Drosophila melanogaster: one gene and its partners. The protein of the gene in region 2 interacts with the protein of the main gene of each other region in a pairwise test. Each region holds a gene or a part of one and is shown on either strand. Other genes may lie near its edges.

The links. Proteins that work in one complex are often made in the same cells at the same time.
Region 1: the proteins of Stam (region 2) and sxc interact in a two-hybrid assay, tested with the Drosophila melanogaster proteins (one large-scale study listed by BioGRID).
Region 3: the proteins of Stam (region 2) and FANCI interact in a two-hybrid assay, tested with the Drosophila melanogaster proteins (one large-scale study listed by BioGRID).

Annotation. Positions count from the first base shown.
Region 1 is NT_033778.4:5,305,054-5,311,850, reverse strand, and holds the start of sxc (super sex combs), read right to left. Parts: upstream 4,564-6,797; 5' UTR 4,353-4,563; coding exon 4,199-4,352; intron 1-4,198.
Region 2 is NT_033779.5:10,856,876-10,864,772, reverse strand, and holds Stam (signal transducing adaptor molecule), read right to left. Parts: upstream 6,238-7,897; 5' UTR 5,939-6,237; coding exon 5,896-5,938; intron 5,404-5,895; coding exon 5,126-5,403; intron 5,067-5,125; coding exon 3,863-5,066; intron 3,797-3,862; coding exon 3,252-3,796; 3' UTR 2,767-3,251; downstream 1-2,766. Other genes in the region: aurB (aurora B), read left to right, coding at 6,796-6,929, 6,985-7,702, 7,763-7,897.
Region 3 is NT_033778.4:8,932,513-8,942,186, forward strand, and holds FANCI (fanconi anemia complementation group I), read right to left. Parts: upstream 7,278-9,674; 5' UTR 7,242-7,277; coding exon 7,170-7,241; intron 7,112-7,169; coding exon 6,657-7,111; intron 6,597-6,656; coding exon 6,361-6,596; intron 6,302-6,360; coding exon 6,192-6,301; intron 6,137-6,191; coding exon 5,686-6,136; intron 5,630-5,685; coding exon 5,541-5,629; intron 5,483-5,540; coding exon 5,370-5,482; intron 5,308-5,369; coding exon 5,042-5,307; intron 4,990-5,041; coding exon 4,646-4,989; intron 4,592-4,645; coding exon 4,251-4,591; intron 4,190-4,250; coding exon 3,858-4,189; intron 3,801-3,857; coding exon 3,029-3,800; intron 2,970-3,028; coding exon 2,105-2,969; 3' UTR 2,064-2,104; downstream 1-2,063. Other genes in the region: PAN2 (Poly(A)-binding protein-dependent poly(A) ribonuclease 2), read left to right, coding at 59-168, 231-397; CG13748 (uncharacterized protein), read left to right, coding at 7,957-8,298.

The sequences.
Region 1 (6,797 bases), on a different chromosome or scaffold from region 2:
AATTTGCAAGGATGGGAAAACGATAGACACTAATTTTAAAGGATGGTCAAACGATTAAAACTAATTTTAAAGAAATAAATTATTTTTAACAGTGGGCAAACGAAATATTTATTTCTAAGAGGTGGGCTTACGAAATAAGTTATATTCAAGCGAGGCAAACGAAAAAAAAAATTTAAAGTTTTTTAAAGGCGGACAAACGACAAAAACAAATATTGGTTGGGCAAATGTTTTTTTATAATATTTGGTAAAAAAATTTAATTAGAAAAAATTGAAAAGGTCAAATTTTTGATTTTTTAACATTTTTGATTTTGATGTTGAGCTCTTATGTACACATAAACTAACGGAGAACCTAATTTGGTGACGGCCAAAATTGCTCTCTGTCCGCTCGCTTACGATGAGAGCGTAAGCAATCTGAAAATAGAATTTGCTTGTTTGTGAGAGTTAAAACAAGAGACGAGAACGCGTATATGTGTGCGTGTTGTGCTAGAAGACGATTTTCGGGCCGAAATCAATTCTGATCAAAGAAACGAATTTACATATTTGGGGAGTTTTGGCCAATTTCGTAGCAATATGATGAAATTGCGCGCTGTTTAAAAATATCAAATTGGAATAAAACAAAAAAAACTGCAACTAAACAACTGAATCTAATGTGCATTTTAAATAATATAAATCGATCATTTACATAAATCATATTAAGTCGAAGGACTTAATAAATATACTAAATAATTAAGGCAAATGCAAAGGAAGTATGATAACTACTGTAATTTAAAACATAAATTTTCCAAAAAGAAGACATTAAATTGCTTACACAAGCACTCAACAATGCCTTATTAATTTTTCACACGTCGCAAGCTGAATACTCTAATGACAAATATTCTAATATAGTCATTTTTGAAATTTATTTTGTGACATTATGATTCGGCTATAACTATTTCTAAGCTATATTTAAATAATAATGACGTTAAGGCAAGCAAAACAAGAATTTTCCGCATGATGCCAATTGATCAAAAATAATATAGATATATAGATCAAAAATAATATATATATAAAAATAATATAGATCTATAATATAGATAGATAATATCTATGAACTTCTAAGGTGAAGGGCATATTTTGTCAAATTTACAATGCATGAGCATACGTGTGCACACATACAGTTGTCTGCTATCACTGTATGCGTAGAAAAGAGCTCTTTTGCTCTCGAACTAAAATTCGAGAGAGCCTGGAGCCACCTCTACACTATGGGGCATTTGGCCTGTTTTTTTTTACAAAAATTAATACCTCCTAAACTATTGGAGATATTTGGATGAATTTTTTTTTATGCGTTACACATGCCTCCAGGAATATTTTGAAAAAGTGGCCGTGCCCCAACTCCGCCCCAATTTTTTTTTTTTTTAATATATTATATTATAATTTTTTTTAATAATATATTTTTAAAGTTTATTTTTAATTTCAATATTGTATAATTCATAACCGTCTTCCTCTTCACAATCGGCAGAGTCTGAAGAATTTTTATCAGGTTCAAATTCGCAAGCTAACATTTGAATGACTTCTGGTGGAAGAGATAGTCGCTTATGTTTTCGCCTCTTTAAATTTATTGATGATATTATGGGATCCGTAGTATCCATTGCTCTGTAAAAGACATCTGCGAAGCTACTAATAGTTTTTGCTTTGGCTGGGTTCAACAAAAGAATTTTAAGTATGGCTGCAAGATCCCGCAGGCAGCACTTCCGTACAGCTTGAACCAAAAGACATTCGTTGTGATTCTGCGCCCTTACGAGTTCATCTGCTTGCTGTCTTCGGCCACTCAAATTTTTTAAATAATATGACGTTTTCGGGAGTCCAGCTAATTTCCTTTCCTTTTTATTTTTCTCCTTTACCTTCAGGACTAGGTGTTCTTCTAACCAATTTGAAAAACTTTCAAAAATTCATTTATTTTTCGATTGCATTTTCTCCAATTTCGCAAAAGATTGACTGAAATCATTCGTTATTAATATTATTCGTTAATCGTTCATTAAAGTCTAGCTTGCTATCAGAAATATGCCCACTGATAAAAGTGCAAATAGAATTTTCCTTTTGACGAACAACCTTTTGCTTGCGCCACACTTCCAGCAGGGCAGCATTGGAAATCGAGATATTGCTCCCTAAAAAATGAAATTTCTCAAGAAACCGCAAAAAACGCACATAGAGACTACCTGATATGAGTTAGAAATTGAACACACTACAACATGGATATAAACACTTACTGAACAAATTTGAACAAATTGTTGTAGCTCTATTCAAAGTTTAAAATTTTTTCAAACAACTACATGTTGACACCACTTGCTAAATGTACAAATTGTTAGAAATAGGCGCACACAATAAACAATATATTAATAACAACACATAATAAAAACCTAAAGATTGATTATCTATTTCAAATTATACTCTCCTTCTTCTTCTTTTTAAATTTTAACACTTTGAAAGTTAAGCTAAATTTTGCGCGCAAAGCAGCCACGTGATATATGCTCGCAACAGCCGACTTTAACAGCTGTTATTATAACGGTGCATTGTAAAATTAACTTTTGCGGGCTGTATCATAACAGTTTAACGTATTTCCAATGTATTAATACTAAAATACTTCAAATTTGCATACTTGTGAAAAACACATTATTGTAAAAAAAACAGGCCAAATGCCCCATAGTGCTCTAGAGCCACATCGAATGGCGTTACGCATCTTGTTATTCTGGTGTCTTTGGCCGTACCCTTTGGTCGAGTTCCGCAACAGATTTTTAAATCAATAAAACATAGCAAGGCAAATAATAAAATGAAAACAAAACTTATTTTTAAACTTCCTTCTTCACACTGAATATTATTTCGTGCAATTATCAGAGGAAGTAATCTGTATAAGCTTCATACTTTAGAGAAGGCAACTAGATACTATGCTCAAGAGATAATTCCTCAGGTACAGCAAGGAAAGATGATTGAGACACACACTGAGAACTGCAGACACATGCATATGTATGCAGATTGAAATACAGGTATAGATCATACACATCCAGATTCAGGACTACCCTAAAATGGGCCGAGTCAATGAGTTTTCAAGATCTCTCACTACGCAGTCAATGATATTCTAGAAATAATACAGTTTAAACAAATTAGACTAGTGTTAAGCACTTCAATTGGTGCAGATTAACCAACGGATATGCAGGGTAACGAACCCTTGAAATTTCAAAGGACACATCCGAAGTTGTCTGCTGTAGTTTGTTCGTACAGTTTAGAGGTTTCAAACCAATAAGGTATTTCAGCACCGGATTCTTAAATTTGTTATATAAAAAAAAAGCAATTTTCTAATCGTTTTAGAAAACAAAAAGGTGTTTTTTATGCCGCAGCTTATTTTGTGCAGTATGTTAATATTCAATAAATGGCCATTTTAAACCTAACAATTTTTTAATTTTAATATCCGAGATTGATCCAACTTCGCGGAGAAGCGGAAGCTTCTCCCTAAAAGAAAATACTGTATTGAATGAAGGCCGAAAAGCACCGAAGAACTTTTCAATGAATACCAAATAATATATGTACATATATGTAATATATGTTGTCAAAAATTTAAAAAAGGAAAAACGTGCAAGCTACAGCAGAACGAAAAAAAATTTAAGTGCAAAGTAAGCTTTAAGCCAGAAAAAAAAAAAATTACAATAAAAAATTTAATTTTAGATGGAGTGAGAGATAACATTATAGACGAGTTTCTCGACTACCAGATACCCCTTACAAGATACGGCTTTAATGAGGGATGCACATTTAGAATACGGAAATCGTCTGTTTTTTAACCATGTCAATAATTCTTTCAAAAATATTGCGTTTACATTTTTCTGGTATCTTTCATCGAAGCAATGCCAACATAAAAATTAATTTAACTACACGAAATAAGCTCAGACACTGAACACTGATTTTTATGTTGTGTGAATTTTTAGATGCGTACACCATATGCATCTCTTAATATGTTGTTAATATGAGACACATTAGACACATATCTATCTCGGGCCAGGCATAACCAATTGTTTGATTTATTGATTTTTCTTAATTTAATTGTGGTTGTCTTCGCTGTCAAACTTATTCATTTGCATTAATGTATAAAGTATTTAACTAGATGTATTCTTTAAAAAAATCAATTACAAACGTATGTACATACATATATAAATGTATGGTTATTTCTTACCGACTGATGAAAGAGATTGAATGTCATTTTGTTTTACGACTAGGTTACTGCCTGTTGAATTCGGATTTTGATCTAATAATATATGGGCCGCGGACGGCAGTTGATGGCTCTGTCCTTGAGACTGCATATTTATTCGTGTTTGTTCAACATGCATTAAAATCCAACGTTGATAACATGTGTCTAAAATCAATAAGCCACCCTTAAGTAAAGACACTGTGATGTTGTTTACATGATTAAACCTTTAAGAAAGAGAATATCAGTAAAATATCAATATGAATTGCATTAAGTTATAAAAGCAACCTGATTTAATTATTTTCAAACATCCACTCAGCTGTTAATACGATTTACAAGAGAAAATCAAATATTTACATACTCAAATATTGAACACTGTGAACAGCAACTTAATAGCTTATACCCTATTCTTACGGCGGCAAAAACCATATTAACATAATATCAATGTTATACCAATGATATACCACATATAATTTCAAATGAAGAGAGAATGGTATTGTCGAGTCAATCAGATAACCGTTAGTCAGCTCGTGAAAATGGGAACACGAAATTCATTCATCATTTTTCTGGGATATCGTTAAATACTGGGATATAAAATAAGAACAAAATTGTTTCAAATTGATCAAAAGTTCGGTCTTGACCGGTTTGGAAGGTGTAAGAAGGGCCGTGGCCGCGAATTAATAGAAATTGTATACAAAAATCAAAAAATTTCAAAACATTTTGAAATTGTTAGCGTTAGAGTGGTCATGGCAAAATGTTTTCTGGCAAATTCATAGAAATTTAAAAGAAAATAAAAATATGAAAGAATAATAAAACATTTTACATAAGTGTAGACGTGGCAGTTTTGTCCGGTATGTGTGCGTTGGATTGCACATGGCAACATGGGTTAACAAACTTGCGCGGCGCCTATGTCTCTAGAATCACATATCACATACAGTTTGTCAAGAAACTGTTTACACACTGTAAAATAAGTTGAATTTTTGACTTTAAAGCTAAAAATAAAGGGTTTTTTGCTTAATTAAACGCAATTTTTTTTATAAAATATAATCAAACAATATTTATTTTACTTATAAATCAAAAAACAAATTAAAAATATTAAATATACAAGAAAATAAACAACAAATTCCAAGTTTACACGCTTTTAAGACTGTCAAGAAACTCTCTTTATTACAGTTGCGGTAACAATAATAGCATCATAAGCACATTTCGTGTTTGTCCCAGCTTTTCTCTATTTTCTGACACTTTCTCATTATTTTACTCACTAAACTTAAATACTACAATGATTTTCAATCGAAATAAAAAAATTAGTAACAGATCTCATGGATATTTTAAAAATAATTGGTAAAACAAAAAAAAAACCTTCAAATTTAGGCGGTAACAAACATAGCACTGTTTCTCGTAGTTTGCTTGGGATGCGATCGGGTGTGGTACCGTTTTGGTTTTAAGACTCCTCTCAGCCGCTAGGATCTCGGGCTCCGTGACAGGCCGCAATTCGTCTCCGCTTGGCCCGATCTGGGAATTGGGAATGGCAGACCGAACAGGAACAGAACGTTAAAGATGTTTTCCAGAGCAGATGGATCGCTTTCTGCTGCGACGCAGACTTTCAGAAAGCATTCACGATTGCTGGCTCTAATCGTTTTCTTCGGTGAATTCTTTGTGACCTTGTATTCCGTATGGCATGCTTCCAGACGCGTGGTGCCACGAGCTCTTTGTACGAGTCTCGTTGCGCGTAGGCTGATGATGCGCTGCAAGGCAATATCCTCGCTCCACCAGAAAACCAGGGTGTGGTGCCTTCGGTTCGTTTTCCTCATTCGCATGCTTTGGCCGCAGGCCTCCTCCACCCTCGCTACTATTTTATCCGCTGCTGCGATCACAAGTTCGCCTCGTTGACCGTCAGGTAATGGAGAATGCCGGCGGACTCTTCTAGACTCATGGTGTTCTGTCGGTAGGCCTTAGGTTACTGCGTGTTAGCCCTGCTCTCGATTGCCTTTGTGCCTATTTCGACCTGGATCGCCTCGTGGTCACTGACTGTGACCACCTCCTTGATACCCCAACAGGAGAAGCGAGCGAATGGACTGCTTATGAACGTGAGGTCGATAATTAATCCTGCAACGGCACTGTTGAACGTCCAGCCTAGCGAATGTTTCGAGATTTAATTTGCCCTTGGGAGTTGTGTGTGGCGACCACACTAGAGCGGCCCACACGTTAAAGTCCCATCCGACCACGACGTTGCACCGTTCTCGAAAATCGCAGGTAAGTATAAGCAGTTGTATAATTATATATGAAAATGCATTGAGGCTTAAGAATTTTTCATTTGGAAATTATATATGCTTACAGTATTTGAATTATTTAAAATTATACTGCTAATGTTAATATTAAAAAATTCGTTATTCTTGAATATTTGTTATATTCGTAAATATTCTTTAAAAAATAACAGACAGAAGGGAGCGTTTCCGACCATATGAAGTATTTATATTCTTGATCAGGGACCAATAGCCGAGTCCGTATGAACGTCGAGATCTCAGGAACTATGAAAGCTAGATTGAAAGCTAGGTTAAGATTCAGCATACAGATTCTAGGGACAAAG
Region 2 (7,897 bases):
ACGATGCCCGCATCATTTGATTTTATTGCCAAGTGTTACAAAAAAAAAAAAAAATAATGATAAAGAAGGAAGCGGGAAGCACGAGAGGCGGTGGGTGGGTTGAAGGGTCGTCCTTGAGCCAGTTCAGTTGTTTCTGATTAATGCCATCCGACTTGAAGGATACAGATGCAGCGGCACAAAATGCAAATCACCCGGCGGAATAATCAAATCGAGAACGAAACTGAGCAAAATGCCATCAAAGTTGACAACGAACCGAACGGAAACTGCTCCACAAAGGCAACACAACAGCACACAATTGCACGGGCCCAAGGGCACAGGACGATACGGAATGGTACGATCCTATGGTACGATACGGAAGATGGCCCAAAAAGATACCGAGTTTCGGCAGGTGTTCCCCAAGGATCGGTACTTGGACCAATCCTATGGAACATTATGTACGATGGGATCTTGGGCATCAACAGGCCCGTAGGAGTAGAGCTGCATTGTTTTGCTGACGATGTGGCAATCACAGCTGTCTCGAAAACAATCGCAGGGTTGGAAGACAAATGCAACTCTACGATCGGTGCTGCCATCCGCTGGCTCGAGAAAGCCGGGCTAGCAATAGCGGCTCACAAGACCGAAGCAGTCCTACTAAGCAGCAGGAAAAAGGTGGAGAACATGCTGGTCTCCGTCAAGGGTACACAGGTGACCTCTCAAGAGTCCCTAAAGTACCTGGGGGTAATGATAGATCGCAGACTATCGTTCAAGGACCACGCGAGCCACGCCAGCAAGAAGGCAGCAATCACAGCCTCTTCGTTGGCGAGGCTTATGCCCAACGTCGGAGGCCCAAGACACCCGGCCAGGAAACTGCTGGTGTCAGTAGCAAAGGCTTCGCTACTATACGCTGCACCAGTCTGGAGCAATGCCACTGGCAGGGTCTCATACCTGAAAGGAGCTCGTTCGGTGCTACGGTCAATGTCTCTGAGGCTCATTAGAGGTTTCAGGACCATATCCGAAGACGCGGCGCTAGCGCTGGCAGGCCTGCCGCCGATTGATCTGGAGATCAAGGCTCTCAGCCTAATGCGGAGTGGCGCTTCCAGGCAAGAGGCACACGAGTGGCTATTAGGTGAATGGCAGAGTAGATGGCAAACGTCGCGACGGGGGAGGTGGACCTATCAGCTCATCCCAGAGATGACGGTTTGGGCAGAGTGCCAACACAAATGCTTGGACTACCACCTAACCCAGTTCCTCACGGACCATGGCTGCTTCCGGGCCTATCTACTCCGGTTCCGTCACGTAGAGTCAGCCCAATGCTTGTTCTGCGTCGACGGTGAAGAAACAGCAGAACATGTGCTAATGCACTGCTCCAGGTTCACGGCGGAGAGAGAGCAGCTAAAGACGCTGTCAGGTTCCCCGTTCAGCCCTAGTGGCTTGTTCGCGGCTATGATGGCGAACAGGGGGGCTTGGGAGCGGGGACACAGCATTATCATTAATATGATGAAGCGTGTCCGATCAGACGAGATGGCCAACAGAGTGGATGTCTAAGCCCAAACTGGTGTCCTGGGTGACGGCGGGCGAAGAATTCATCCTCAGCGTCCCCGGCTCGTCGTAAAAGGCGACTAAAGGGTGGAAGGAGGAGCCCCCATGGACTACACTGAAGGAAGGGAGTGCGACCTGGCCTCACATCCTGCTCACCGAAGTCATACCTTGACTGGCAGTCCCGGTGAGCGAGCAAGGACTGTAGAGCACGCGGAGGTTTTTGTTTTAGTACGTAGGCATAATTCCAATAGGGCTTATGAATCGTGCATGCCACCTACGGACGGTAGGTGGTATCTTTAGAAGATTTTAATTTTCCTACCGTAAGTCAAATAATAAAAAAAAAAAAAAAAAAGGGCACAGGACGAACAAGGTTCAGGTGTTCGGCTGGGCAGGATTTTCCCACGACCCCAGCCAGTTCGCCCAAATTTTCCCGTTTCCCAGCCCATTCGATGTAAGCGTGCAAGGCCAGCAAAATCAATTAATTTAAAAAATACCTATGCATTTGTTGACATTTTTGCAGCTAGACAACACCACCCACAACCACCCACTTGCCAGCCCATAGAAATCAACAATCAGCAAATATTTGCATAGCCTGCTCTCGCCCGTCTCCTGGCTCGTCGTTCTTTCACTCCAGGTGACACTCCGCATTCATTGGCATTTTCTATTTACCAGGCTGAGATACTGTCTGTCTGCCCCGTTTTGACAGTTTATTTCACAGGATATTTGTGCCACCGAATGCCGGATGGAATTTTGCTAAATTGTTGCATGTTTGCCGGATTGCGAGACAGTGGCATGTGGCAAAGCTTGTCTGAATATATTGGAATCTCATCGGAAAAGCGCACTAACACGAGCGGAGGGAGGTATTCTCCGAAAAGGGGATGAGCGCAGTTGAATGGAGCTCTAAGCATGTTAAGTTTAAAAGGGGTGCGAATCCAAAACTCGTGCTGAATTGTTTCAGTTTATAAAGCAATGCAGATTACTCTTTCTGAAGCCTACATAAAGAATTTTACCTTCATGTTTTATAGCATCGATAAGAAAATTTAAATAAATATCATAAAAATAAACAAACAATTCAAGTGAGAAATAAACAAATAATCTGCTTTCTTTATCACTAAAAAAATTTCTAAAAACTTCATCTGATTTCCAAAATTTTCTTGAAAATTATTCCACATCGATTGCTAGTGCTGAAAATATTTGAGAAGGGTAGCCGTAAGCTTTTGACTTGCAATTTTCAAAGACATTGTGTTTACTTAGTATATTTTTATGATTTTAATGAATGTGATTCGTTTCGTTAGATTTATCATAATCCGTACAATAAACATAATACATAATAGTTATCTCCCCTGCACTAAATACAAAGTTATACGTGCTGTTGAATACAGATTATTTATATGGTATATATATCTTTTTCGACTGGTATTGCCTTACTTCCAGAAAAATATATCATTTCGTTGGACCAAATATAAACACAAAAAACGAAAACTCGTAAGGGTATACTTGATATTAATTTGGCTTCTTTCGTTATTTTAAAGGATAGTCGACATATTTGGTTCACTGACAATTGCTCTTCTCAAAATGTACATAGCAGAGATTTGACAACTTCCGTTTCTCGGCAAGTTGGCCAAAACTAACATACTCGATGACATCCTTTTGTCAGAATGAAGACAAAGCTTAAAGTTGCTCGGGCAATTCAAAGCGAACCAAGTGAAGGTCTCTGTTTTAGTGCAGCGGTCTTACCGCTGCTGCTGGTAGATAGGAATGTTGTTCTTGACAGCATCGTTCTGCATGTGATAGCCGGGCGCCCCAACTGGCGGTCCGCCAGCCATGGACATGGCGGCCATCTGCTGATGCAGCTGACTAAACTGATCGTGTGGTGGTGGGTGTTGTTGCTGCTGCTGCTGTGGGGACATGTAGCTCTGCGGGTTGACGACGGCCGGCGATCCGTTCGGTCCATAAAGATTTGGTCCTGGCTGGTATCCCTGTGGTGGCGGTGCCTGCTGATGCTGCGGCGACATGTAAGCGTGCGGAGCCGGTGGCTGCTGCGGCTGCTGGATTTGTGTGACTGCGGGCGGAACTTGGGCGTACTGTGACTGGGGGTCGATGTGGTAGCTGTTCTGGGGATGCTGTGGGGGCTGCTGGCCTTGCTGCTGTGGCGGCTGTTGAGGGTGCTGTGGAAGTGGCTGCTGCTGCTGTTGGGTGGTCACGGGAGTCGGCTGAGTGTAGATTGGCTGGGGCATGGGTGCAGTGCCAGTGGGTTGAGTCAAATGGGCTGGCAGCGCTGGAAAGACGATTGAAAATGTTATTATAGGTAAATATAATAAGTATTTTAATCCTTTGTACTAACAGTTCATCTGTGCGGCATGTCCGTTCTGATAGGGCAGTGGCACCTGCCCCTGCGGTTGACCCAGATAGCCACCAGGAGCTCCAGGTGCCTGAGATGGAGCAGAAGTGGGAGGATTTGGTACGGGGCCATATGGCATCGAGTGCATGCCCGGATAATTTTGGGCCGGTGGGAATCCACCCGCTGCAGGATAACCTGGAGCACCGTACAGAGCGGCACCCGGGAAACCAGCAAGTCCAGGCATAAAGCCGCCAGCAGCGGCGGCAAAATGTCCAGCCGCAGCACGGTCATCCCGCATCAAGGTATGGTACAGATTAATGGCGTCGACGAGGTCGCTGGACAACTGCGTCAGTTGAGCGTGCTTGCGGTCGACGCGTTCCAGCTCGGCATCGATCAGCGGTCCCATCTGATGGACCTCCTGCTCCAGCTGCAGCATTTCGTCGCTGTCCTGCGAGGGATCTTCGGGATTCGCCTCGTGCAGCAAATGCAGCAGCCGGTCGATCTTTGACTCGTCGATCTCCACAGGCTGAGCTGCGGCGGCAGCTGCTGCCGCTTCAGTCTTTTGCTGCAGTGCCGCAGCGGAATCCAACTCTCGTTGCCCGGCTGCGGCGGCCGACTTATGCTGCTGATTGATGTCCAGCCGCTCGGGATCGACGGACAGATCGGCAGTGACAAAGTTCGAGGGGAAGAGACCCTCGCCGCGTTGATTGTATCCCTTCCACCAGTTTGGATCACTATCATCCAGCACATGAATGATCTCGCCGGCAAAGAAGGTCAATTCGTTTTCCTCGGCAGCTTCGAAATCGTACAGAGCTCGAACCTTTCTCGGCTCTGGCGCTGGTGCGGAACTGGCTTCGGCGCTCGGTGCACTCGAGCCGGTTCCAGCGAAAGATGGATACAATGAGGGATAGGCACTGGCGGTGCCGGTACTTGCTACACTCCCAGTCTTTGGACTGCCCTTGTTCTCCTTCAGCGACAATTCGATGGCCTTGGCGATGTCATCCTCTTCCTGCTGGCTGCTGACCACATTCGGATCTTTGGGCAGGGCGGCGGCCTTTTCGGCAACAGTCTTGCTAGTCTTATCGCCAAGATTCTTGAAATCATATCCCTCTTGGCGCAGCTTGGCATAGAGTGCGGGTATCAAGTCGAGCTCTCGATCGTTCTTATAGTCGTTTTCAGCCCAGTTCTTCAGCACTTGGCGCATTTTCTGTGAATCATAATTGGAATTAGAAATGAAATAAGTGAGTTAAAACTGTTTGTACTCACCAGTGAAACCTTTGGCTGTGCTTTGGCCAACAGGCGGCGGAACTCCGTCTCGAAATCCCGTGAAGCCACCTCCAAATGGAGCGGTTTTCCGCAGTTGTTGGACAGGGCGTCCAAAAGCGTAATCGCCTGCATCACCACATGAGGATCGGTGTGGCCCATGCGGCGCATCACCGCCTTCAGGCAATCCTTGGCCAGGCGGGGATTGGTCGTTACCTTGTCGCATACATCCAAAATCAGAGACCAGTTGTCGTTGGTATTAGTTTCGCTGGTGGCCTTTTCTATAAAACAAGAAAGGCATGAACCGCATTAGCTTATCAGTCAAATAGAAATTTATATTCTGAGTCACAGCAAAACAAAGATAAGCTTCTTCGAAAACTGATTGCAGCTAAAGAAAATCAATACAATCGGAAACTAACTAAATTGCATTAAGGGATGGCGAGGGGGTTGGCTGCGTAAACGGAGGGGGTGTGAGGGGCTGCGGGTGCTACGTCACTCAAGGTCAGCGACTGCCATCTAACAACTCCAATAAGAAGTTCAACGAACGACGCAGAGCTGCGCACAGCATCTCACATGACTTTCTTTGTTGTCTGCTCAATCGGGGGATCGGGTTCATAGGGAAAACAGGGGAAAATGGTGTGGTGTGCGGGTTTTTAGACCCCAGATAAGAATAGAAAACTATGAAACGCATATTGGACCGTTGTGCAGTCCAATTGGAACATCGGCTTGTCCAATCGGCCAACACAACAGCTTAACGATAAGTGGTAACTCACCCACGTCGGCGTCGAATGGCGACGACTGCCCAAAGATTCCCATCTTTATGACCAAACCGCTCGCTCGGCTATCTGCCAATAATCTGCGCTGCCCTGGGGTCAATAAATCCAAATCAGTTGATCTTTGTCTGTTTTCCCTATTGTTTTTCCTCTCCAATCGATTTTCGGTGCGTCACGGCGACTGAAAGCACGCTTTTGGTGTACTTCCTCCTGCGTAGACCTTTTCGCTTTTTTCCAAATCTCTTTTGGGCTGCTTATATCTTTTCGATTAGCCTAAAAACTTCCGAATAGCGCTTGCAAATTCGCTTAATTTACGTTTATTGTGTAAAAAATGACTAATGGCGAGTGTGGCCAGATTGCGAATAGTCGGGAAATCCAAAGGATTTTTTGCAGCTCATTTTCAATGGTTAGTTAGAGGTATTCGAGACTTATATTATGCAAAACATTTTTATTTATATATACATATAAATATTATTGATATTGTATATTTAAATAAATTTAGACAACTAATAATATAAATCTATTAAACATCTGATATGATTTGAGCACTGGTAGCTATGGTTTATAATAATTAAACAGTTTTCTATGCCCTTCACTCAAACTATTCTCCTACGGGTGAGAAGCGTATATTATAATAACTATGCACAATATAAGAACAAAACTAGAAGATTAATTTTTATTTAAGAAACATGAAAATATTTTATTATACGTTGACCGAATTTAAAAATACAGTGACTTAACTGCTTCACTGAGAGTCACAGAATAACTCGATTCTAGCATGCGGTCACACTAATCTCAGCATTCGAAAAAAACGCGCAAACAAAAGGGACGCTTATAGAAAATACAACTTAAAATAATTAATTTACTTAAAAATCATAATATTATAAACAAGTCAGCGCCATGACGCTTTCCCGCGCGAAGCACGCCAACCGCAACCACCTGCCGCACCTGCTGGCCAAGGTGCCCGAGGAGCACCAGGAGCCGATCAAGAATATGTGCCTCAAGATGATGTCCCACGACGCATACGGACAGCCGTACGTACAAGCAATAAGCTAATGTATCAATCCGTACTTAATCTGCTCCCTCCAGATACGATTGGAGTCCCCGGGACTTTGAGATGGGCGCCCACTTGGGACGCGGCAAATTTGGACGTGTCTACTTGGCGCGGGAGCGCCACTCGCACTATCTGGTGGCCATGAAGGTGATGTTCAAAGAGGAGCTGCGCAAGGGCTGCGTGCAGCGTCAGGTTCTACGCGAGATCGAGATCCAGTCGCGACTGAAGCACCCGCACATCCTGCGCCTGCTCACTTGGTTCCACGACGAGAGCCGCATCTATCTGGCCCTGGAAATTGCGTCCGAGGGCGAGCTGTTCAAGCACCTGCGTGGCGCACCCAATCATCGATTCGATGAACCGCGGTCTGCGAAGTACACCTACCAAGTGGCGAATGCCCTCAACTACTGTCACCTGAACAACGTGATCCATCGGGATCTGAAGCCGGAGAACATTCTGCTAACCAGCACGGACGACCTTAAGCTGGCCGACTTTGGTTGGTCGGCGCACACGCCGAACAACAAGCGCAGGACTCTGTGCGGCACCCTGGACTATCTGCCGCCGGAGATGGTGGATGGGAACTCCTACGACGACTCGGTGGACCAGTGGTGCCTGGGCATTCTGTGCTACGAGTTCGTCGTCGGCTGTCCGCCCTTCGAGTCGAACAGCACGGAGAGCACCTACAGCAAGATCCGGCGCATGGAGATCTCCTACCCATCGCATTTGTCCAAGGGCTGCAAGGAATTGATTGGCGGGGTGAGTTGGAAGATGTTTCCTTTGAGATCCATTTATTGAACAGGGATTTCATCTTTGCAGCTGCTTCGCAAGGAAAGCAAGGGCCGCATCACCTTGGTGGATGTGATGACCCATTATTGGGTGAAGGCGGGAATGGCCGAAAGGGAGCTGCAGCTGCAGAAACGGGAGCGCGGCAAGGAGAACACGGCCAGAAAT
Region 3 (9,674 bases), on a different chromosome or scaffold from region 2:
GTGGGATGCCCTGCTTTGTAAGGAACCAATAGACCACTAAACTTCCATGTGATTGCAGGGTCATAAACATCTATGTACCGTCGGAGCAGATAATAGATACGGTGCACCTGTTTCACATGCCACATCATCGCATGGTTTCCCTAAGATTTCTAGCCTGGCATTTCTTGGGTTTGTATAGGGGTTTTCTTCGATTTGGAATTGTATCTAATTGGGTTTTCCTAATGCCAAAGGTACTAAGATTCAGTCCGAGACGCACGACTCCATCGAAGATGCACGGACCACTCTGCAGCTCTACAAGCACTATTTGAAGCTGCAGGAGGAGAAGAAGTTTGCCAACGCTCTCAAGAATCTTTACGAACGCGGAAAGCAGCTGCAGTGGAAGGTTCCAGAGGACTGATTCGTCGCCAAACCCGATGCCAATTCGACGAAACTCATAATCAACGTTATCGTCAGTACAAACGCTACACCGATCTGAAAAAATCCCGGCTTCTCCCAATTTTATTATGTTTTAATGCGTTGCTATTTGCTACGAAGCTCCTGGTATTTCATGTTGTATTTGTCTATCTTTATAACAAAATCAAAACAAAGCATAAAAGTTGTATTTCTTATCAGTGATGCTTTATTGATCGTTGATGCGAATCTAAGTTGCTTATCAAATCCACAATCGGGCTAATAGGCAAAAGCGGGCAACAGATGTGTTCAGGGATCGTGCACGTCAATCGATTCAATTCCTTTGAAATTCTCATTCGCCCTCCCCTATCACCAGCGGCGTTTGTGAATTTTTGAGATGCTGTCGCCAATTTGATGAATAACCTGATGTTGGACTACTGCGCACCTACTTATAAATACCACGACGAGCAAGTCAAGCCAGTTAGTTGTTAGAGCTCACCATTCACTCAGGGAACATAGATGACAATGCATTTGCTTGGACTTCTCGTGCCGATCGCTTGCGCTGTTTTGTGCGTTGGTGAAAAATCCCTTTACCATGGTCTCGCCCAAACGGAGACTAATCGACGATTCCATTGCTCCCTCAGCTGCCGATCTCCAGCGGACATACGACGGACATGATGGGCCTCACGTTTTCGGAACACCCGGCAATCAAGTCTACATTCGGGGGCAGAACGATGGCGTATACAAGGTGCCAGGAGTAGGTGGTCAGTTCCATCACGCATCGTCGCCAGCAGATCACGTCTATACGGATGAGCAGGGGATCACGTATGTGCACAAAAAAGACGCTGGAGGACCAGGTGGCTAAGAATCATGGTTCGAGGCAGTGCATAAATCTTATTATGGATACTATTTTAAGGAACACATACGCTTAGAGGACCAGGTCTAGCTGCTGTACAGCCCGCCTACTCCACTGTGCAGCCTGCGGGACTTCGCAATCCCCAGTTTCATGTGGAGCGAAGTGGTCGCACTGTGGATGTTGGTTCTGGAGGATTTGTCGTCCAAAGGAGCAGACGTAGTCCTCAGTTCCATGTGGAGCGTCCTGGTCGCACTGTGGATGTGGGTTCCGGAGGATTTTTTGTCCAAAGGGGCAGGCGTAGTCCCCAGTTTCCTGTGGAGCGACCTTGGCAAAGGGCTTTGAAGGACTGATTGTTGAAAGGGACAGCCGCAGCATCAAAGATGGCCGCGTCCAGGGAGAAAACTTCGTGGCTCGTGACGATCAAGCAGGAATTTGGGATGATAGTGTGTCGGTGTGGAAGCGTCCGGATGGACGAACTGTCTCGGTGGGCAATGACGGAAGTGTTATTGTTTCTGGACATGGGCACACGCTGCAAGTGAGTACATTGTTTAATTTATCAAGTTTCGCTTATGAATATACTTATATATATTTTTTATTTGCAGTACTAATAAATAATGGGAAGCAGCCTTTTAATTTACAGAGATTAGGTAGCTAAAATTCCAATGATATTAAATGAACAAGATTCACAAAAACATTGAACAATTTTTCTTTTTGAACATGTGGAAATTCTAGAAAACAGCAATACAGCACATAATGAAAATTAAGTAATTGCGATAATCGCAACCATTTTTGAATAAGCAATGGACTGGCATGATTTAAATACATATACTTTTTAATATACTTTTTTTTAACAAAACATCATTTCCTTAATGTACGAGGTATTCCCAGTCTACGACTAGGTTGTGGTTTCTTCTTCTCAGCGGGCACTTCGGGAACGCAAAGATCCACTTTGGCTGGCTCCGCTGTTTGCTTATCCGCTGGACCTTTTGACCTTTTACTGGTACGACTCTCATGGGATGGCTGCTCCTCGGGTTTTTTAATGGCCACACTCCTTTTGGTTTTTGGCTCCACTTTTTTGTTTCGCCTTAATTTTAAAGTCGTTTCAGGCTGCTCTTCCTCGACTTGCTCTTCATCTTCAGCTTCCAGCTGTTCTGCAGCTTTGCGGCCTCTTTTTCGTTTGGGTTGTGGATCCTCTGCTTCACTGCTAGGTGCACGCCTCCTGCGCCTTTCTTCCTTCTTCTCTATGACTAAGCATTCATCTTCCTTCTCCTCCAAGTCCTCTGGATACGTGGTGGACTGTGCGTCATCGTCTTCCTCTACATTCTCATTTTCATCCTCATCCTCATCCCGATCCTCAGCATTACTGTCTTCGGTAGAAATGTTGCGGCCATCCGAGATACTACGCTCTATAGCTGCCCTCAAATCCGTCGACTTGATATCGAAGTCGCGCATGGTTCCCAAGTGGAGGTAGTCCGTAAGTCTATTCTTGCTTTTGGTCTTTTTGGACAGGAGAATAATGTGCTTATTGAAGTCCTCGATAACCATTATAACCTTGGGAATTAGCCGAGTCTCTCTCAGAACTTTAGCACGTTCTGCCTGGACCTTCCGCTTTTTTGTATGCTGCTGCGCTTCCTCATCCAGGGTATTAGCTTCTATGTACGTGATGAGCTCGTAAATATTCGCCGGAAGTTGTTTACCAACTGCACGTAGCAGAAGTTCAAATCTGTTGGAGAATAAAATGCAGATTAGATATCCATTAAATCTACGACTAGATGGACTCACTTGGTGCTTTTAATGTTCTCAATGGACGTATCTGATGTGTAGCTCGATATGTAGTGCTTGGTCAGGCTTTTCAAACAAGTGTAGTGCTGAATCAACAACTTCATAAGACCGTCCATCAAAGAACCTAGAGGAATACAAACGTTTGTGAGCACCAGCAAAGTGCGACTTATGTGGATTATTTGTGTGCAAATGGAACGATCCATGGAATCCAGGTTGCCCCGCCAATATATCTGGTCAATTTCGGGAACCACTTGGCATTTGTAGTTTAGATTGTTGGCTTTCGTCACAAAGTAGTCCACATCGTTCAGCTGCTTTTGGATGGCAGCATACAGATGCTGTAGGCAACTCTCGATGGTCACTGTACTTATGGACTTTAGAGTTAGCTCCACAGATTCTGAGGGAGCGTCTTCATTTTGTACGCCCAGTACGTGACCCAATTGCCGAGCAACACTGTCGAAGAAGGGACCTAAGTGGGTCTTTTGACGCTGAACGAATAGCATTCTGTGCACCAGGCCCATTTCACTGTTGAGAATCTCGTTTTTGCTGCAAAAATTTAGCAGCCAAGTGTACGATTCGGTGGCAGCACGATCCTGGTAGTCAATGTGATCCAAAAGAATTTCAAGCGACTCCAAGAGGTAAACAGGCAATTTGGAAACGAACTCATTTTTACAAATCGAATCATCAGTGCCGTACTCCGTCATAAAGTCGTCTAAAACATCCTGAATTGTGTAAACCACTTCCTTGTTTCTGCTTCCCTTTATAGATGCCAAATCTAAAAGTTTTACCATAGTTTAGATTATCCTCATATACTTAGCATGACTTAACTTACCAAATGACTTGACAAAATCTTCGAACTTCTTTGAGTACGTTTCATGAGCTGTTTTTAGGCATTCAGAAAAACACTGAGTGGCTAGGGCGGCGCTCTGCATGTCGAAATTTTTCCACAGCTCCGGCAAGCGTTGAATGCAGCGCTCGTAAATGACCTTTGTAATGTCCGTCAATTGCTTAAAGGTGCGTTTACTGTAGGCCAACTGCTTATAATCGGGCTCCAGGCGTATAGACTCCACTCTGCTGGCCGTTACGGATAAAACATACCGGACGAGGGGCTCGTTGGAGCGCAAGAGCACTGTTTTTTCTGGAGCAGCAAAGGCTACGACGTCACTAAATGGAAAATTGAAAACAGTTTTAAGAAGTAGAAAGGATTAACGTCAAGGTTACTAACTCAAGAAGTAGATGGAGCAGCTTATCCAATATGGCCAAGTCCCAAATATTATCAGGCTGTGTACACATGGTCTTCACCGGGACGCCGTTCAGTGTCAAATTGCACGTTGATGTGCTATTATTCTTGGCGGTTTGCTTCAACTGTTTATGGGCTTTCTTGGATGCATCCGATAATGCCTTAAGACTCTCCAAAAGCTTACAATGCTGATTAAAAAGAGGCAATATTTGACAAACAGCATTGTTTTGTGGCTTGGATTTGAGCAATAAGTGGCAAATAATTCCTTCAATGATATTCAGTTGCTGCAGAACGAGGGCACATTTTAGATGTGTGGCTGGCGGCGTCTGAAATCAGTTGGCATTAGTTTATTGAAATTTAAAAGTAATAATCTTGCTCACTATCTCTTCCAGGGGTAATCTGTTTGCCACCATACGATCCACACAGAAACTCATGAGCCGATTCATCTCACGAGTGTCGTAGCCCGATGGAGCTCGATCGAAAACAGCCAAGCAGTTGGCCACGAACTGAATCAACTTGCCCAGGTTGTCTTTAAGCTGAATCTCCATGTGTTGATCATCGCTAGAGCTAACCAATTGATCGTAGCGAATGCGGAATACTGTGTCTAGATCGTCACCAGCATCCTCTGCAGAGGGGGTGTCGAAGAAGCTGCGAAAGTGCCAGTCAATGACTTGCAGCACATGTGGCACTAGTTTAGCATTGAGCTCCACTGCTCTCTGAAGATCTATTTGAAATGCATTATTAGAAGTTGTATTATTTGATTTCATTCGACTCACTTTCATACAGGGAGCACCGTATATCGAATTGTTGTTGCAAGCAGTTTCGCAACATTCCAATAATTTCCAACGTGAGCATGTCGAAATTTCTTTGAGGATTACTACGACTTCCCAGTGTGTTCTGGGTCATTATGGAGTAGCCAGAGATACTGTGTTGAGTGCAGAAACTGGTGGCGCTGGAGGTCTGGCGCACAGCATTGCTGTTGTTTAGTTGTTTGAGGATCATGCAGAACCCATAAATCGCCATTCGCCGTTTTTGAATTCCACTAAAATATAAAGTGCAGAATAAAAAGTAAATACAGTACCACGAACAGGTAATTAGACCCACCTCGAGCTCATTGCTTTGCAAAGTACATCAATTAGCGCATCACGGACGCGATTAGAGATCTTTAGCAAAGGTAGAATAAAGTTCATCATGCGCATGGACTGCTCACCAGACAGCTAAAATATTTACAACGGAGTTAGCTTAAAGAACAATTATGCCATTGGACTAACTTGCCCATTGCATGTGCTCCAAAACAGATTGAATTGGTTTCATGCACTCGGAGACCGTATACGTATCAGCCACACTTAGAAGTGTGAGGCATTCTGCAAATATGTATTCTTGTTGCATAGAATTATTAAGAACATTTTGCTTGACCTACCCGAGAACTGATTTTGTTCCTGGTATACTATCATCCACTCTGAAATAAGCTTTATGATGCCTTGTCCAAAAATGAATCGCTTGCGAATGAACTTGGTTAGAAATGTGATGGCCAATGTGTGCATCTTGGGCGATTGCGATTTCAGCAAGTAAAATACGAGATGAACCAGCCCAGGAGTTATCACATCCTTGCCGTCTTTGTTCTGATCAATGAGCACCGTGAGGACCTGCTGCAAATCGACTTGCTTGCGTTGCAATGTATCCCGATACCACACGGAGTAGTCGGCTAACGTTCGCTCTTCCTCGTTGTTTTTGATCACATTGCGCAAAAAAGGTAGCAAAATGGAATGAGATATTCTAGCGGACTCTGGATCGCGATTAATGCTGGTCATCGAGATAATGGCGCTAAGCATAAACGGAGTTAGGATCACATCGGGCATGTGCAGAAAGTTCTGAAACATGGTTAGTTAAGTTACTAAGCGATCGATTGATTTGGGACCTGCTTACTCTCAGCATTATGGCCAAATGTTTTTCAGTAAGTTTGTACATAGTACAGTAGTTCAAGTGATGCAGGATAGTCTCTTCGGCCTCCCTTAGTTCCTTGTCCGAGAACAAGTCTAAAGATCAGATGCTGTCAATTTCTAGGAATATAGTCTTCTATATGGTGCAGGCTCACCAATGCTATCCAAGTTCGTTGAGTTGCTACACATGTCTGAGAAGAGCCGCTTGTAGTAGTTGCGATGGAAATACTTCTCCAGGGCCAGCAACGGAATGATCAACTGGGAAGCAGTGCTGCACATCGAAAAGAGCTGGAAGCACAGCGCTGGGAGTTCCATGGGAGATAGCTCCTGCAGGGCGCCAGAGAATTTGTTGAGTACTGTCACAATTTCGCCACTGCTAAGATTCATGGTCCTAGGGGGATTGTATGAGTTGTGTGGTTAAATTGTGGTTAATTTAAGGGTGGTCACCCACTTGAACATGTCGGCAATTGGCGTGAGGATTGAGGCTGGCCATTGCATGGTGGCAATGCTCCTTACGGTAGTGTCCCTGAACTCCATTCCATCTATGGATATGCCGTTCAGAAGAAACCGCGGTCTGGCCAAAAGCAGCGACAGCGCGTCCGGCAGCAAATCCTTCCAGCCGACGCACTTGGCGTCTCCTTGTCGGATCCCGTCCATGCAGTGCTCCACGATCCAGGCCAGCTGCTCGGACGGAAAGGTGGCCAGGTCCTGCGACAGGCGCGTGATCAGATCGAAAGTCTGTTTGTAGCTCAGTTCCGTGCTGCTCAGTCCGTCCATGAAGCTGCGGACACATTCGAATCGCTTGGCTAGCGCATCCTTGCTCTCCGGATTGAAGCCACGGAGAAGGTAGTTCCAATACGTTATGCCCTCGCTGCGTGTCATTGTGGATTTAAGGGTTTCCTTTAACTATCAAGCAATGTTTATCAATTAAGATTTATATTGCCTTCCGCCTTATGGGTCCAACCTTTTCTATTGGAGTGTTTTGAATGAGCAGTTCCAGCTCATCAAAGCGCGCCTTCTCACCCAGACTCCGCATCCACGTTAGAATTGATTCGCGTGCCATACCCAACTAAATTTATGTAATAATTTACGATTTAAACAAAGACGCGCCAGATTTCACCAACTACCACAAATTAGGAATGGTAAATGCCTGATATGATTACCGATTGCACCACCCACTGATATCGATAGCATGCAATTGGCGGGAATTTTAAAAAAATCCATAAATAGTGATAACAGTAATCTTTTCCATAAAACATTTAATTTTCAATTTCAAAACTAAGAAATAGGCATTCTATATTTCTAATTGAAATATAAAAACTATTTCAATGAAACCCAATGGAAAATAGCTTTAAATTTGTAGTTTAAGAAAAAATTTATTTGTCTACTCCATATAGAAAATCAAACAGGTTGTTTTTCCATAAAATAACAAAAACAAAAAATATGGTTGTATGTTTTACGATGATAATGCTCACAACAGTAAATAAACAAAAGTAGTTATATCTACACTTGGATTTTCAGTACAAAAGCGGACTCTTCGAAAGAGTAACCAAAGAGCGTTGGAGTCGAACGGAAAGCTCTGCTGGCTCTTAGATGGGAGTATTGTCTAGTATTCGCTTCCCTTCGCCCGCTTCGGACTACAAAGTGGCACCATATAAATCCAAAAGCTGGACTGCAGCGCCAACAGTTGCGTGAAGACAATCGCCAAGTGATCAAGTGAATTAAATACGAAGCTAAATCAAGTACACAAAATGCGCGGACAACTGAAAGAGTACGTTGGAGTGGCAGTGGTGCTGATCCTGCTGGCGGGGATCAGATGGAGCGAGGCGTTTCCCATGGACCTCTACGACGACGTGAGCGACTTCTTTGACGCCATCTCGCTGGACGATGTGGCCAATACCGGGCGCAACACCCATCCGGAGCAGTTCTGCCTCATGCCGGCACGCAAGGGCGTCTGCCGCGCCCTGATCCCCCGTTGGCGCTACGATCCGGAGCAGAAGAAGTGCGTGGAGTTCAAGTTCGGCGGCTGTGACGGCAACGAGAACAACTTCGCCAGCTACAAGGACTGCATGTCCACCTGCGAGGGCATGTAGGGCTCTCCGCATCCGCATACGCATTCCGATCCGGATAGCGATCGGTCCTCCGCGACCGATGTGTTGCCAAAGGCGGCTGCTTCCCCTCGAGCTCTGCAATCCAGCGAACCAAAGGCAGCATTCTCCACACCCAAACTCACACACAAACATCACAATCCATGCGACTAACCGTCCCTTCTTCTACCTAATATTTATGTAGTTTCTGTCATTGAATCCATCTACTTTGTACTTTCCTGGGTGTGTCCGTCCAGCACTCACCACCCATCTAGAGCTTAAGTTATTGTGATAAAATACTTGTATGGAATAAAGAGTTTTTTATAACGACCAACTCGATGTGGTGTTCACTGATGTGGGAGAGGTCTACTGATCATCTGAAGCTCACAAATATTTCCTAGAATCTGGAAGATGCTTAAAAAATTAATACCTATAGTATACTATGTATAGTATACTATTTTGGAATCTGGAAGATGCTTAAAAAGTTAATACCTATACTATACTATGCATACTATACTATTTTAGTGCATTTTTTAGTAATCACATAACAAATTTAATAAAAGAACCCTTAAATAGCAACTATTCTTGGTAAAAACAAAACAATGCTATCTTATCCAAATTTCTAGACAATTCTAGCAACTACGAATGTTTGTTTGTTGACTTTCAATCGATTGGAGCCTGCAAAATTCCATTCAGCGATAGACAACTGGTTTATTTTTTTGAATATTTATAAACATTATAAGCATATTGTCTGTTTGGGCCGTTCGAGCCAAGAGTAGCGAAAACAATTACCAACGGCCTCAAAAGTGCGAGATATCGCTGGGCGCAATTGCCGGAGGCGAGTAGCAGCAGGCTAACTTTCATATGTAGATTTCACTTGGAAATGGTCCAAAGCACAGACGAGCTCCCAATGAGAAACTGGCCCATTCATGCGATGGGCAATCAATCGATCGATCGCCCAGATGTAGACGGACATAACCATAGCAAACAAGATCGGCAGCTGCAAAGGTCAGGCACGGCACGGATGGATGAGTGGACCACGTACACGTATGTAGTTGGGTCTAGGCAAACCAGTGCGTCAGCTGCTGAAATACGCACGGATGCGGCGGCGGAGTGACGGAGTCACTCGGAATTCGGCGGATCTGGCGGAGCAAACAAACAAACCGGTGCGAAACCGATTCCAATACCAAATCCGAGCCAAAGTCAAAGCAGGTAAACATAAACAGCCGAGAGGTGCGAATTTATGCTAAGTCGATTGGCAACAGGCCAGTCGGCCAGCCAAAACAGTCAGAGAAAGACCACAAGATCTCCAATTCGGCCAACGTGCCTGCTTGGAACTCACGACTTGGACTCACTTCGAGTCTCGACCTGGAATCTGCGAT